3 linked regions of the Rattus norvegicus genome follow. The protein of the gene in region 1 interacts with the protein of each later gene in a biochemical or structural test. Links are inferred from orthologs where the notes say so. Each region holds a gene or a part of one and is shown in the gene's direction. Other genes may lie near its edges.

Evidence for each region.
Region 2: the proteins of Chek1 (region 1) and Mcm6 form a complex in vitro, tested with the Homo sapiens proteins (2 studies listed by BioGRID, with this or other methods). The link is inferred for Rattus norvegicus from reciprocal best matches to the Homo sapiens genes CHEK1 and MCM6.
Region 3: of the proteins of Chek1 (region 1) and Cdc25a, one has a biochemical effect on the other in vitro, tested with the Homo sapiens proteins (7 studies listed by BioGRID and IntAct, with this or other methods). The link is inferred for Rattus norvegicus from reciprocal best matches to the Homo sapiens genes CHEK1 and CDC25A.

Annotation. Positions count from the first base shown.
Region 1 is NC_086026.1:44,612,274-44,617,001, reverse strand, and holds part of Chek1 (serine/threonine-protein kinase Chk1), read left to right. Parts: intron 1-915; coding exon 916-1,011; intron 1,012-1,404; coding exon of another isoform or gene 1,405-1,421; exon of another isoform or gene 1,422-1,601; intron 1,602-1,647; coding exon of another isoform or gene 1,648-1,658; exon of another isoform or gene 1,659-1,748; intron 1,749-2,327; coding exon 2,328-2,436; intron 2,437-3,004; coding exon 3,005-3,182; intron 3,183-3,398; coding exon 3,399-3,530; intron 3,531-4,642; coding exon 4,643-4,728. UniProt on the Homo sapiens protein: Serine/threonine-protein kinase which is required for checkpoint-mediated cell cycle arrest and activation of DNA repair in response to the presence of DNA damage or unreplicated DNA.
Region 2 is NC_086031.1:42,393,620-42,398,347, reverse strand, and holds part of Mcm6 (DNA replication licensing factor MCM6), read left to right. Parts: intron 1-231; coding exon 232-342; intron 343-2,322; coding exon 2,323-2,572; intron 2,573-4,112; coding exon 4,113-4,278; intron 4,279-4,519; coding exon 4,520-4,665; intron 4,666-4,728. UniProt on the Homo sapiens protein: Acts as a component of the MCM2-7 complex (MCM complex) which is the replicative helicase essential for 'once per cell cycle' DNA replication initiation and elongation in eukaryotic cells.
Region 3 is NC_086026.1:118,749,053-118,753,780, forward strand, and holds part of Cdc25a (M-phase inducer phosphatase 1), read left to right. Parts: coding exon 1-42; intron 43-1,634; coding exon 1,635-1,769; intron 1,770-2,313; coding exon 2,314-2,388; intron 2,389-2,540; coding exon 2,541-2,714; intron 2,715-4,728. UniProt on the Homo sapiens protein: Tyrosine protein phosphatase which functions as a dosage-dependent inducer of mitotic progression. Directly dephosphorylates CDK1 and stimulates its kinase activity. Also dephosphorylates CDK2 in complex with cyclin-E, in vitro.

The DNA of each region.
Region 1 (4,728 bases):
AATGAAGTGAAATTTATAGTTTTTCTTAATCCTTTGGGGGTTTTTCAAAAAATGCATTAATGTATGTAACATTTGTTACAGTACTTCCTAGAGTTTATTATTCATTTTAGTTTTGCCGGATGTTTTAATGTGCAGATGTTTTAAAGTTTTCATACCTAAATTCTTGTCACTTGTGATTTTGACTTATATTGTCATGCTGAGAAAGGTGTTTTCTATTCTGATTTTTTTTTCTTTGTAAAATTCTTTGTGTTCTCATTTGCTGTTTGTGTGGTTTAATTTTTGTGTTTGATTGCTTTTGGCTTTGATTTTGAAATGGTCTTGTTTAGCCCAAGCTGAACCCTGCGCTCAGCTGTGTAGTAGAGGATGATCTTTACCTTCAGTCTCCACCTTCAGATGCTGGTGTTCAGATGGCTTGTTTATTCTGGGAGACAAGGTCTGTGTTAGCCCATGCTGTCTTGAATCTCAGGCTGGACCTGACTGTGGCATCCTCTCAGCCTTCTGAATGATGGGACTACAAGCTGGTCACTTTTTTATTCTTGGTTTAAAATAATTGATTTATATATGTATTTTTTTTTAAATGTAGGAGTGCTCTTCTGCATGTACACCTACGTGCCAGAAGAGGGCATCAGATCCCTTTATAGATGGTTGTGAGTTACCTACCTTATGGTTGCTGGATAACTGTTGAGCCATCTCACCAGTCCCCTGGCTTACATTTTTGATGTTGGGATGTTGGAAATTGTATGAATTCTTTTTTTAAACTAATGTATATATTTCCCAAGCTGGCCTCAAGCATCCTGCCTGTGCTTCTCAACTATTGAGGCTGTAGGTGTATATCATGTTTCTGGCTTTTGTGTCTTTGAAAGTTTGTCTAATCTGTGTACCTCTTTTACAAATACTGTCTTGTTTTCTTTTCAGCTTTGCTTCATAAAATTCTAGTTGAGAATCCATCAGCAAGGATCACCATCCCAGACATTAAAAAAGATAGATGGTACAACAAACCACTTAACAGAGGTAAAAAAGAGGTTTCTTTTGTGAAACATAGATACTTATAAAATACCACAAACTCTGCAGGGGAGGGGGAGGGGCAGAGAGAGTGTGTGTGTGTGTGTGTGTGTGTGTGTGTCTGTGTGTGTGTACACACTACACATGTGTGCCTGGGGGTCCTTGAAGGCAGAAGAGGGCACTGGATCCCCTGGAACAGGAGGTACAGATGTTGTGAGTTGTGATGTGACTACTGGGAACCGAGCCTGGGTCCTTTGCAAGAACAAAAAGTGCTCTTAACCCCTGAGACATCTCTGCAGTCCCTCTCTTAGGACTATCTGTTGATGTACTACATTTCAATCAAGCATGATTTGTCCCAAACTGAATTAACAATTTTTTTTCTCTTTCGCACTTCTTCCATAGACTTTCGTTTTGGATGATGAGAACTTATTCCTTGTGTCTAGCAATACCTTCCTTCCCTGTCTGAGTCTTCTTTACATGTGTTACTCTCTCACCTTCCTTGGGCACTGGCAAGCAGAAAACTTTCAAACTGTACGCACCTTTCCCAGTTTGTTTGTTTGCATTATTTCACTTCATTGTAAGTAAGGTAGTAAGCAGTTAGAGAATCAGCATCACCTTACTGAACTGAACTTTGTTTTTACTCAGTAGAGTGTTAAGGTTTGGGAGGTTGGTGCTGGAGGCGTGGTTCAGCAGTTAGAGGACCTGGGTCTGATTCCCAGCACCCACAAGGAGGCCCACAAACATTTCTAACTCAGGTACCCTTTGGCTTCTGAGGGCACTTTGTGTGTGTGTGTGTGTGTGTGTGTGTGTGTGTGTGTGTGTGTGTGTGTGTGTGTATGTGGTGGTAGTGACATACTGTGCTATTTTATGTCTGTTAGCATTATTCTAAAAGTAGGATAGCATATTATGCTAAGAATGATGGAATGGTGGGCGGTATTGCTAATCTCAGAAGAGAGTAGAAGTTTTGAGAATTCTTAGGAAGTGTGAGGAGACAAGTAGCATGGACTGTAGTAGTCTAGCTGAGGGTCTTATTTTTATTGATTGTCGTTCTTTACTGAGTTATTTAAAAATTTTAAAAGTTCTAGTTATGAGCTACTCTTTTGTTGAACATCATGTTTACTCATAAAAGATGGCATTAAACTTGTGGCCTTAGTGAAGCACTAGGGTAACATTTCTTTGTTTAAACATAAAGTTGTTTAAGAAAAAATTGTTTATTTTATATTGCTTTGTATTCAGTAAATGGATTTAGATGTGGCTTTATTTATTCAAAATGCTAGTTGGATTAAATACTTGAATAGAGGATTTGCATTTGTTCCTTTTTTCAGGAGCGAAGAGGCCACGTGCTACTTCAGGTGGTATGTCAGAGTCTTCTAGTGGATTCTCTAAGCACATTCATTCCAATTTGGACTTTTCTCCAATAAATAGTGGTTCCAGGTAAGACATAAAATTTTATTTTTTCTTTTTTTCCTTTTTTTTTTTCTTTTGAGATAGTGTTTTACTAAGTAACCTTGGCTGAACTGGAACTGGGTAGCCCACCCTAGTCTTAAATTTGTATGGAACCTCCTGTGTCTGCCTCCTGAGTGTTGTGATTACAAGTTTGCACTACCATGGATTAGCAGATTAAGTTTGTTTCTTAAATGTAATTATCCCCCATAAAAAAGAAGTATATATTTTACTTAATAATGCCTGTAATTTTACCAAAATGAGAATGATTGTGCCATATAAAAAAATCCTGGTGGGTTTTATTTAAAGACAATTTTAGTCTGACTCTGTACTATACACACTTACAGTCCCAGGTAACTGTTAATTGGAAGGCTGAGGCAGGAGGATAGACAGTGCCAGGCCAGGCCAATCTAGGCAACATGACACAGTATTGTCTCAAACAAACAAACAAACAAACAAACAAACAAACAAACAACACAAAATGAATAATTAAAAAGAATGAAGCCGCCTTAAAAACAGAGAATTGAAGTCATACTTTTCTTTTCTCTTAATCTCTCAGTGAAGAAAACGTGAAGTTCTCTAGTTCCCAGCCAGAGCCTCGGACAGGGCTTTCCTTGTGGGACACTGGCCCCTCAAATGTGGACAAACTGGTGCAAGGCATCAGTTTTTCCCAGCCTACGTGTCCTGATCATATGCTTGTAAACAGTCAGCTACTTGGTACCCCTGGATCTTCACAGGTGAGGAATTTCAACTTTCAGATAAATAACTGTTGCTTTTTATTTTTGTGGTCTTAAATCTTAGGTATATGGCATTAATACTTTTAGTTGATACATATTATTTGGAAAAGTAAGAAATAATTAGAGGAGGCCATTATGGGAAAGAAACTTAAGATCAGACTAATTGCTGTAAACTGGTCACACTGGATTTATTCAGCTTTCTTCTTTGATGTGCAGAACCCCTGGCAGCGCTTGGTCAAAAGGATGACACGATTCTTCACTAAATTGGATGCAGACAAATCTTACCAATGCCTGAAAGAGACCTTTGAGAAGTTGGGCTATCAGTGGAAGAAGAGTTGTATGAATCAGGTATGTTTTGTTAGTTTTCATTATTTCTTTTCCTATAGAAAATTAAATATTTGAGTAAAAGTTATCAGTGATCAGTGAACGTTCTAAAAATAAAAGTAATTAATTTGAAAAAGAAACAATTGCAAGTTTTAAGATTTTTTTGCGTTTGTTTGTTTTGTGTTTTCAAAAACCTCTGAAGTTAGTAATGTTATATTAAGCTGCACTTGGAGATGTCCTCACCTCCATGTTTGGGGTCTTGGTGCTGGCTCTTGACTGCCATCAGTCATCTCACCCAAGCTCCTTACCCTCACTATCACTGTCACATTGTTGTTCCAGCTTTTCAGCCTTAAATAGCGTCTCTTTTCTTTCTTGTATTGTTTTTTCATTAGTTTTTGTATTTGTTTGAAACACAAACACAGCCCTGGCTGTTCTGGAACTCATTCTGTAGAGCAGGCTAACTTGGAACTCACGGAGAAGGTGTGTGCCACCACCCCCGGCTCTTCTTGTACTGTAATAACCTTGTTTTCTCTCTCATATATTTGACTGATTGGTTGGCTACAGTATTGGGGGATTGAACTCAGGCATTGTGTATGCTGGGCAAGTGCTTTACCACTAAGCTACACCTCCAGTCTTCATTCTATTCCTATTATTTTTATTTGTCTTTTCTTTCAATTCTGCTTTGCTAGAATGCCTTCTTTTTTACCACAAGTTCACTTAGACTAAAGTTCTAACTTACAGCTTGGTTTAGATTGGAAAGAGAGAGAGAGCATTCTTTCTTTCTTTCTTTCTTTCTTTCTTTCTTTCTTTCTTTTTTTTTGGTAAGATTTTTTTTGATTTTTAATTTTACACTTATGCATAAACGGTGTGTCAGGGTACATGCGTATGTTAGTGTCTGTGGAGGCATCAGATCCTTTGGAGCTAGAATCATAGGTGGCTGAGAGCCCCCTGGCATGGATGCCAGGAGTGGACCCAGGGTCCTCTGGAAGAGTGAGGGGCAAGTACTTTTAACCTGAGCCGTCTCTCTAGTCTTGAAATGTATAGTGTTCTCCATGACACTCCCGTTGAACAAGAACTGTTAAGAGTATTTTCTATTCACGTGTGTATGTGGCTTGACCTTATTTTTATTGCCTTAGGTTACTGTATCAACAATGGATAGAAGAAACAATAAGTTGATTTTCAAAATAAATTTGGTAGAAATGGATGAGAAGATACTGGTTGA
Region 2 (4,728 bases), on another chromosome or scaffold:
GGAAAGTTGCCTGTGGTTTGAGTACTAAATGATTCAAGCAACAAGTATAACACTTTGTGTTTGGAGTTTCTATGTGTGCTGGGATAGAGGTGGTTGATAAAACCATCATGCAGTTAAGTTTTAAAGCTTGACTGTGACCAGATGAAATGCTGTGCTCTCAAAGTTGACAAACATGAAAAAGAAGACAGATTTAGTAAGACTAATCTGTCACTGGTTCTGCTTGCTTTTCAGAGTCTACCCTTACCTGTGTCGAGCCTTGAAGACCTTTGTCAAAGACCGAAAGGAGATCCCTTTTGCTAAGGATTTTTATGTTGCGTTCCAAGACCTACCCACTAGACACAAGTAAGGAAGGAACCTTTAGGGGGTGAAAGGACCCATTGTATCAGATACCACTTACTCTGGGCATTTATAACACCTGAGGTGTGCCGCTCAAGCCAGTGTGGTGCACAAATCAGCCTCCGTTGGCTGGGTCTCAGAGTCCTCACCTATCATAGAGCACTGATACTGTGACAGTTCCTCTTGTTTGCTGTGTCTTTTGAAAATAAGGCCTTCTTGGGTAGCTTGTGCTGGCTTCAGATTCCCAGTCCCCAGATGCCGAGGTCACACTGACGTTTTTGAAGTATTCAAACTCAGGAAGTTTAGTTTGGAGAAACTTGTTTTTCCTTGGAGCTAGGAGAGGCAATATGAGTTGAAGCAGGTACTTGGTGTTGTTATTCTTAAAGCACCTTTTAGGGAAATCAGGACAAGATTTGCCAAGGGAAAAAATGTGAGAACTGAGGCCAGCTGGTCTAAATAATGATTTCAGGTCAGCCAGAAATATGTAGTGATATGCTGTCTCAAAAAAAAAAAGAATAAATTTCAAGAGTAAAAACTTAATGAATTTTAGGACTTTAATGAATATGGACTCACAGTATGTAGACCTGGCTAGCCTTGAACTCACAGAAATCACCTTTTATAGAAATTAGGTGCTTCTGCCATCCTAAGTGTTGAGATTGAGTCATGCACCACTAGGATTGGGAGAGATGTTCAGTGGTTAAGAGCACTGGCTGCTCTTCCAGAGGACCAGGTTCAATTCCCAGCACCCATGGCAACTCAACTCTATAACTCCAATTTCAGGGCATCTAATACCCTCTCACAAACAGATGTACACACAGGCAAAACACCAATGCACATAATAAAAATAAGTAATTTTTAAAAAGAAGGCATATATCACCATGCCCCCATTCCCCCCAACTTAAATGCATAACTTTGAAACATCTTTTTTTTTTTTTTTTTCTTTTTTCTTTTTTTCGGAGCTGGGGACCGAACCCAAGGCCTTGCGCTTGACAGGCAAGTGCTCTACCGCTGAGCTAAATCCCCAACCCCTTGAAACATCTTCTTAACTTGAAGAAAATCATTTGAAATATTTATTTGTGGTGTGTGTGTGTGTGTGTGTGTGTGTGTGTGTGTGTGTGTGTGTGTGTGTGTGTGTGTGAGAGAGAGAGAGAGAGAGAGAGAGAGAGAGAGAGAGAGAAACACAAGTGTGTACACTACCCAAAGAGACCAGGAGACCAGAAAAGGGTGCTGGATTTCCTGGGGTGACTTTCCTTCCTGTTGTGACATAGGAACTCAGATCCTCTGGAAGAGCTGCAAATACTCTTAGCCATAAGTTCTCCAATCCTGAAACAGTGTTTTTCCGAGTCTGAGGTCCTCCGGCTAGGCTGTCTGGCCAGTGAGCACCCAAGATCTGCCCCTTCAACAGCACACTGATTTTAGATGCATGTCATGGCACCCACCCAATTTATTTCTTCAGTCATTTCTTATTTGTTTTTATTTACTTATTGTAGCTTTTTGCCACTTTTTCTGTTCAACCCTGGTTGTCCTAGAACTTGCTCTGTAGACAGACTGGGCTCAAAGTCATGTCCGCCTGCCTCTGCCCCAAGTGCTGAAACTAAAGGTGTGCGCCACCACTGCCAGCTCACTGCCCAGCTCACTTTTATTTTTAGTTGTGAATTTGTGTTACACAGTTTAAAAGAAGTTATGGACTACAGCGGTAACTCAGCTACTAAGAGTGAAGTGTTCCTTGCAAAGGACCTGAGTTTAGTTCCCAGCATAGTGTCGGGAGGCTCACGACCGTTTGCTGCTCCAGATCCAGGATGACTTGGTGTCTGGTGCCCGCCCTCACACGTGCACACCCGCAGAGACATGCTCACACATGAGACAAAAACTTAGAAGATTTTCTTAACAGGCGGAAGTGGTGTGAGGTTTTAGGTTCAGTCCCTGGAACTGAAGTGGGGAAGAGGACAGAAAGGTGTCTGCTAATGTGACTCTTTCTTCACATAGGATTCGTGAGCTCACTTCCTCCAGGATCGGGCTACTCACTCGCATCAGTGGGCAGGTGGTGCGCACTCACCCAGTGCACCCCGAGCTTGTGAGTGGGACTTTCCTGTGCCTCGACTGCCAAACAGTGATCAAGGACGTAGAGCAGCAGTTCAAATACACACAGCCGAGCATCTGCCGCAATCCAGTATGCGCCAACAGGAAGAGGTTCCTTCTAGACACCAATAAATCGAGATTCGTTGATTTTCAAAAGGTACTTACTTCTGCTTAGATTACATTCTTATATGTAAATGTATTTATTAGACAGATTAGATTTAAAGCTAATAATGCTAATAATTCATTTTTGGCCCTCGTAATGACATATTATGTCAGTCTCTGTGGGAATGTAGTGCCCACAGAGACCAGAAGAAGGTATCGGGTCCTCTGGTACAGATTGTCCTAGTTAAGTTCTGTTGTGTGATAAACTTGACCAAAAGCAATAGGGGGTTGTGGGGTGCGGTGTTCGGGTTTACTTCATCTTAAGTTACAGTCTGTCATTGAAGGAAGGGAGTCAAGATAGGACTTGGGAGGTAGGGACCAAAGTAGACGCCATAGAGCAGTAGTTCTCAGCCTGTGGGTCTCGACCCCTATGGTTAGGGGTTACTACATGATGAACACTATGTTAAAGGGTTGGGGCTCTAGGAAGGTTGAGAACCACTGCCATGGAGGAATGCTGCTTACAGTAATCCAAGGCTTGCTCAACCTGTTCTACAACCCAGGACCACTTACTTGGGAGTGGTCCAAACCACTGTGGTCTGGACCTTCCCACACCAGTCATTAATCAAGAAAATACCCCCACATGCCTGCCCACAAGCCAGCATGACCGAGGTCCCTCTTCCCAGGCTTATGTTAAGATGATAAAAACTAACCAGGACATAGGTGGTTGTGAGCCTCCACGTGGATGCTAGCAACCAAATTCTGGTCCTTAACCACTGAACCACCTCTTCAGTCCCAGTAGATTCATCTCTTGAGCCATTTGACTAAAAGGGCACAAAAGTTTATTATGTGTGTTGCCCACATGTGGTGCAACATTTGCAAAGCAGACCAAGCTCTTAATTAATTACCCAGCTATCTCTCCAGAGCCAAGAGATAAATTGCTTAGCCAGGTGAAGTATTTGAGTAAAAGTTTTAGGGCACAAAATTTTTATGTATTTTTAGGTATATGGGTGTTATGCTTATATGTATATCTAAGAACCATATGCATGCCGTGCCTACAGAGGCCAGAAGAGGACATTGGAGCCTCTGGGGCTGCAGTTGGTGGTGGTTGTGAACCCTCCATGTGGGTACTGGGATTAAACCCAAGTCCTCTGGAAAAGCAGCCAGTTCTCCTAATAGCTGAAACGTCTTTCAAGCCCCCAGTACAAACTTTAGGTGAATATTGGTATGTGTCACAAGTCTATAGGGCAGTTTGTCAACAAGCATGGAGACCTATATTTGATCCCTAGTACTACAGAAAGAGCTAAGTGTGGTGGCGTGTACTGTGCAGGGGAGGAAGAGGCAGCCAGATCCCTAAAAGTTAGGTGGTCAACCAGCCTGGCCAAATTGGTGAGTTCTAGGCCAGTAAGAGGCCCGGTCGTAAGAGAGAAGGTGGGCGGTGCCCGAGGAGTGACACCTGAGACAGGTGTGACCACCTGCACACACACACACAGAACAAGGTGTGCAAGGAGGCTGGGTTAGGTGGGTGTTTGTAGCATTTGATTTCAGGTGTGTAGCGTGTGAAAGCATCTCTCCTTTGCTGTTGGTCTTGGTTGTAGGTTCGTATTCAAGAGACTCAAGCGGAGCTTCCCCGGGGAAGCATCCCCCGGAGTTTGGAGGTTGTCCTGAGGGCCGAAGCCGTGGAGTCAGCCCAGGCTGGTGACAGGTGTGACTTCACGGGGACGCTGATTGTTGTGCCGGACGTCTCCAAGCTTAGCACACCAGGTCAGTAATTTGTTGCTTGGATGTAACCAGTCCTGATCAGTCACCTACTCTCAGGATATCTGGCTTCTAGAATCTTCTTTGTAACGTACCGATCGGGATGAGCACAGTTAAGTATGAAGAGAGTGAAAAATAGACTTTTTCTATGAAGGATGGCGTTTCAGCTTTGGCTTATTCAAGCACGTTATTCTTATGAGCACCATTAGTATTTGAGCTGTGAGACACCTGTCTTTCGCTCTTACAGGAGCACGTGCGGAGACCAACTCCCGAGTCAGTGGCGCTGACGGGTATGAGACAGAAGGCATCCGAGGGCTCCGAGCCCTGGGTGTCAGAGACCTGTCATACAGGCTGGTCTTCCTTGCCTGCTATGTTGCACCAACCAACCCACGAGTAGGTCTTATTTTTACTTACTTGTCTGTTTACTGTGCTAGGAATTACATAAGCATGAGATCT
Region 3 (4,728 bases), about 74 Mb from region 1:
GACCCCTTTACACACAGGCAGAATTCAGCCCCAGCTCGGATGGTACGTGTTTTGGCTTTTCCACTGGGAGTTCATCATGGGAAGAGAATTTACAACATGTGTGTGTTGTATGAGCATGAAACTTATTCATGCTGAGTCTATGGTATATGCCTACAACCCAAGCATTTGGAAGATAGAGGGAGGAGGACCAGGAGTTCAGGTTATGCTCAGCTCTGCCATGATTTAAGGCCATCCTGGGCTACATGAAATCCTGTTCCAAAAACAAAAAAACAAGTTTACTGTTATTACTTGGTGGCTCATGTCTGTAAAACGTTTGGGAGGCCTGTGAATTAGCTGGGGTTATTTGGCAGGTTAGAAAGTTGCATTAGAGAAGTTGATGATGCATTTGTCAAAGGACATGTAAAAGCAGGCTGGAATTTAACTATAGGTTGCTCAGTACATGATAACAGTTTGAAATATATATATATGAAACAATATTTTTGGTAGATATTTGGGGATCAGAATGCTAAGATTTTCTGTAACTGCTTGATCATTAAAGCACCTCTAACTATAGGTGCCGAGGGTGCAGACTTTAAAAGCCTGTGGCTTATCTTACTGGTTTGGCTTTTGTTTGGATTGGGTGTTCTGTTACTTGCTTTTTTGAGACAGGATCTCTTAGATATCTCTAAGCTAGCCTCAGATTTGCTATGTAGTCAAAGCTAGTCTTGAACTCCTAACGCTCCTGCCTCTAGAATCACAGGTGTTTGCCACTTCACCACATTGGTTTCCAAGGTAGGGTGTGAGTTGATGAGGCGTATGACAAAAGCAAAGGATTGTTTGGCTGTGTTGACACATGTACTCCCAGCTACGACTGCAGCTGAGATAGGATGGACACCAGGGGCACTTAGTCTCAGGGAAGAAAGAGGCTGACTACCAGAAGTGTGTGCTGTGGCTTAAATGGGATTACAGTTGTAAAGATTTTGTTGTAATGTCCAGGACATCACAATCCCTCATTTTAAAACTGGACAGCTTTCATTTTAGTTTAAATCACGTTTATTTTTAATTTGGTGGAGCAGGGCAGTATGTGCAGCTGTGGGCTGTCTGAGACAGATACTGGAAATTAAATTAAAAACTTCTCCAAGAACAGTACTTGCTCTTACCCACGGAGCTATCTTTCCGAGCCCAACTTCCATTGTAATCCTAATGAGGAGCTAGGTTAGAAGTCAAGCTTGGTAGTGTGCACCTGTGATCTCAACATTTGGGAAGTGGGAGAAACGTTTACAGGTTTTAGCTCACCCCTGACTGCCCTGTGTCCTGAACTAATAGAGGAGTAGGGTCGAGTTTAGAATGAAATTCCCTTGTTCCCATTGTCTGCATTACATAGGCATTCCTGAACTCCCTCTGTCTGCTATTTTGTGATCTCCATGACGCTTGTATTTTCAACAGGTTTAGATGCTCACGGCCTTCATGTGGTACAGCACATGGCTTTAGTTTTCCCTGTAAGACGAGCTCAGGAGCCAGGGAGTCCAGTGCCCTCCTCTGACCACTCAGGCTGCCAGGTTCACACACAGTGCACTGCCCACTCTCCTTTTTCCTTTAAGCAGTCCACCTAAGCATTCAAAGTGGTCTGGACTTCTTGCTATTTTGTCTTTCAGCTGTCTTCAAATGAAAGTGACATTAGTGAATCAGGAAATTTCAGTCCTCTTTTTACACCCCAGTCACCTGTGAAAGCCACTTTGTCTGATGAGGATGATGGCTTCATAGACCTTCTGGATGGAGAGAATCTGAAGGTACCATCTGTGGGTGGGTGTGCCTATTCATTCTAACCACCCTGCAGGAGCCTGGCTGACTGAATGATTGTTCATTTTTGTGAGAGTTCATTGACTCTTCTGCTTGACTAAAGCAGGGTGGGTGGGTCAGATAATACTGGTAAGATCTTCCCTCTTACCCTGAGGGACACTAACCAGTCTTAGGAATAGGGAAGGAGGAGTGTATTGAGATACTTCTGGAACTAAGATACAGCTTAGTGGTAAAGCCTGTGCTTCAGCTGTACAAGGCCTTAGGCTCAATCAATCCCTCGTACCAAAAAAAAAGCCTGCCCTGGTGTTACATGCCAGTAATCTCAACATTCAGGATGCTGAACAGAAGAAGGATCAACATATAAGCCCCAAGTTCAAGGCCAGCCAGCCAGTGCTTCACAGCCTCCAACAACAAAACAAACTTACCTAGACTTACCTGGCATTTCTTAGGAGAGTTAGTCTGCTGGATCTTTTTCTTCTTCCCATCCCCTCTCCTCTGCTGGATCTATTTAAAAGCAGTTTTCTCTTCGTCTAGAATGATGAGGAGACCCCGTCGTGCATGTCAAGCCTCTGGACCGCTCCCCTTGTCATGAGAAGACCTACAAACCTTGTAAGTTACTTGGCATGTGGAGTTCTGAGGAGCTGAGTCCTTAATTGACTATGTTGACTGAGACAACATAGAGCTTAGGCCCGGGTTTTAGGCTTACTGCTGTTCAAGTGACTAGATTTTAATCCAAGGTGGTCTGTCTCTTTCACCCTAAGGCCGATCGATGTGGACTGTTTGACTCCCCTTCCCCGTGCAGCTCCACCAGCAGCTGCAGCACTCGGGCAGTGAAGAGAGCAGACCGATCTCATGAGGAGTCTCCTCGAGGTACAAAGCGGAGGAAGAGCAGTGAGGCCAGTCCAGTGAAGGCAGATGTTCCGGAGCCAACGCAGGTTAGTTAGGTTCTCCCATGATCTAGAGTGATCACAGTCTTTGAGCGCTAAACATTTCCACTTGTTCGTCCTGTCCTTGCCAGGTCTTACTACCATTTTGTTTTGTTTTGTTATTTTCTGAACAGGGTTTCTCAGTATAACTCTGGCTGCCCTGGCACTCACTCTGTAGCCCAGGCTGTCCTTGAAATCCGACTGGGATTAAAGGAGTGCACCACCACTGCCTAGCAAGGCACACTACTTCAATTTGCTTCTGTTCTGTTTGTTTTTATTTAGGGGATTGTGTCATTTGTAATTAGGTTTTTATTTTGCTTTGGCTTTTGAGGCAGTGTCTTGTTTCAGGATGGCCCGGAACTTGTAATCCTCCTGTCTCTGCCCTGGTGCTTGGATTACAGGTGCGCACCACCGTACTACATTCTTTGGGTGCCTGTTCAATCTTTTTGTCTGTCTTATTAAAGAACTCAGGCATTGTCATATATCTGGAGGTTCCCACTGATCTATAGAGTCCAATACTGTTTTTGTCCCCTAGATGATCTCATAGGAGTAGCAGTGCTATGTCATAGGCCAGGCGCTGGGTTTAGTCTTGCAGTTACTGCCAAATAGTTTTCAGAGTCACCACCTCAACAGCAGTGTATGAGGTGCATTCCTTCTGTTTCCAAGTAATATTTGGTAAAGTCCTGATCATTTTAGGTGTTTGTATTAGTTTCTTTGCAATTGCTGTGATAAAACACCATAACTAAGGCAAGTTACAGAAAGGGGTTTGTTTTGGGCTTACGGTTACCATCACTGAGGGGAAGCATGACAGCAAGGCATGGGAGCAGAAAAAGAGTGAATGGGGGTGACATTAGGATTTTTGAAACCTTAGCCCCAAGACTGGACTCAAACTTAAAACACAAAAAAGGGAAAAAGAAACCCAGCGGCAACCTCCTCTAGCCACACCACTTCTCCTAAGTCACCCAAGCGATGACATCAATTGGGACCAGATATTAATGCTCCAACTATGGGTACATCCAATTAAACCACCATAGAATTCTTGTGGTCATTGGTACCTGGATTTGGGGGAGTTCACTCTTCTGTTGCTGTGAGTGTGATTGTTTTGTCTGCATGTATGTCTGGGTACAGTGTGCATGCCTGGTGTCCGTCCACAGAGGTCAGAAGGCATTGGATCCCCTAGAACTGCAACTACCAATAGTGTAACACCACGTGGTGCTGGAAACCACAAAGTGTCCTTCACTGTTGAGCCATCTCTCCAGCCCCTGTTATGTGGGGGGTGGGGGGGGTGGTTGTTTAGGGTGCAGGGTTTGTGTTGTTGTGGAAGACGCGTTTATTTGGTGCTGAGGATTGAACCTAGGGCTTTGTGCTTATTACTCAAATTTGTGGTCCACCTCTATTCTATCTTACTTTCCTATGCCATTTATTTAGTCAGGTTGGGGTGTAAATACCACAGTGTGTGTGGAGGTCAGAGTACAACTTGGAGACAGTTGTCTTTGCAGAGTTCTTGCTTGTCATGAACTTTTCTTCTGCCTCTACCTCTCTTGTGCTAGAATCACAAACAATGCCCAGGTTTTTGTTTTTGTTTGAAATTTTGTTTTATTTGTGTGTATGTGTACATGTTTGTGCCATGGTACACAAGAACCTGTCTATAAAATAGAATGGCTCCAGCTTCTTTATTGCTAAACAAAGGACAGGTCTGTCTGCCTCTGCCTCGAGTGCTGGGATTTAAAGCTGTGTATCACCACCACCTGGCACTTCTTTTTAAAATTTCCTATTTAAGGGGAAAAAACCACGGCAAGAGTGCTGTCTGGGTTTCTACTCTAACCTGACTGGCTGGGCTTGGGGAAAATCCTAATGTGCCCACCCGTCTCTTAAATACTATTGTGGTATAAGTCCTGTGCGTGCTTTGGAATACGTGATGGTCAGAGGACAACTTTCCAGCCTTGGTTTTCTCCACTATGGGTTCCCAGGATTATCAGGCATATATAGTGCTTTTACCCTCTCACCCATCTCACCGGCCTCA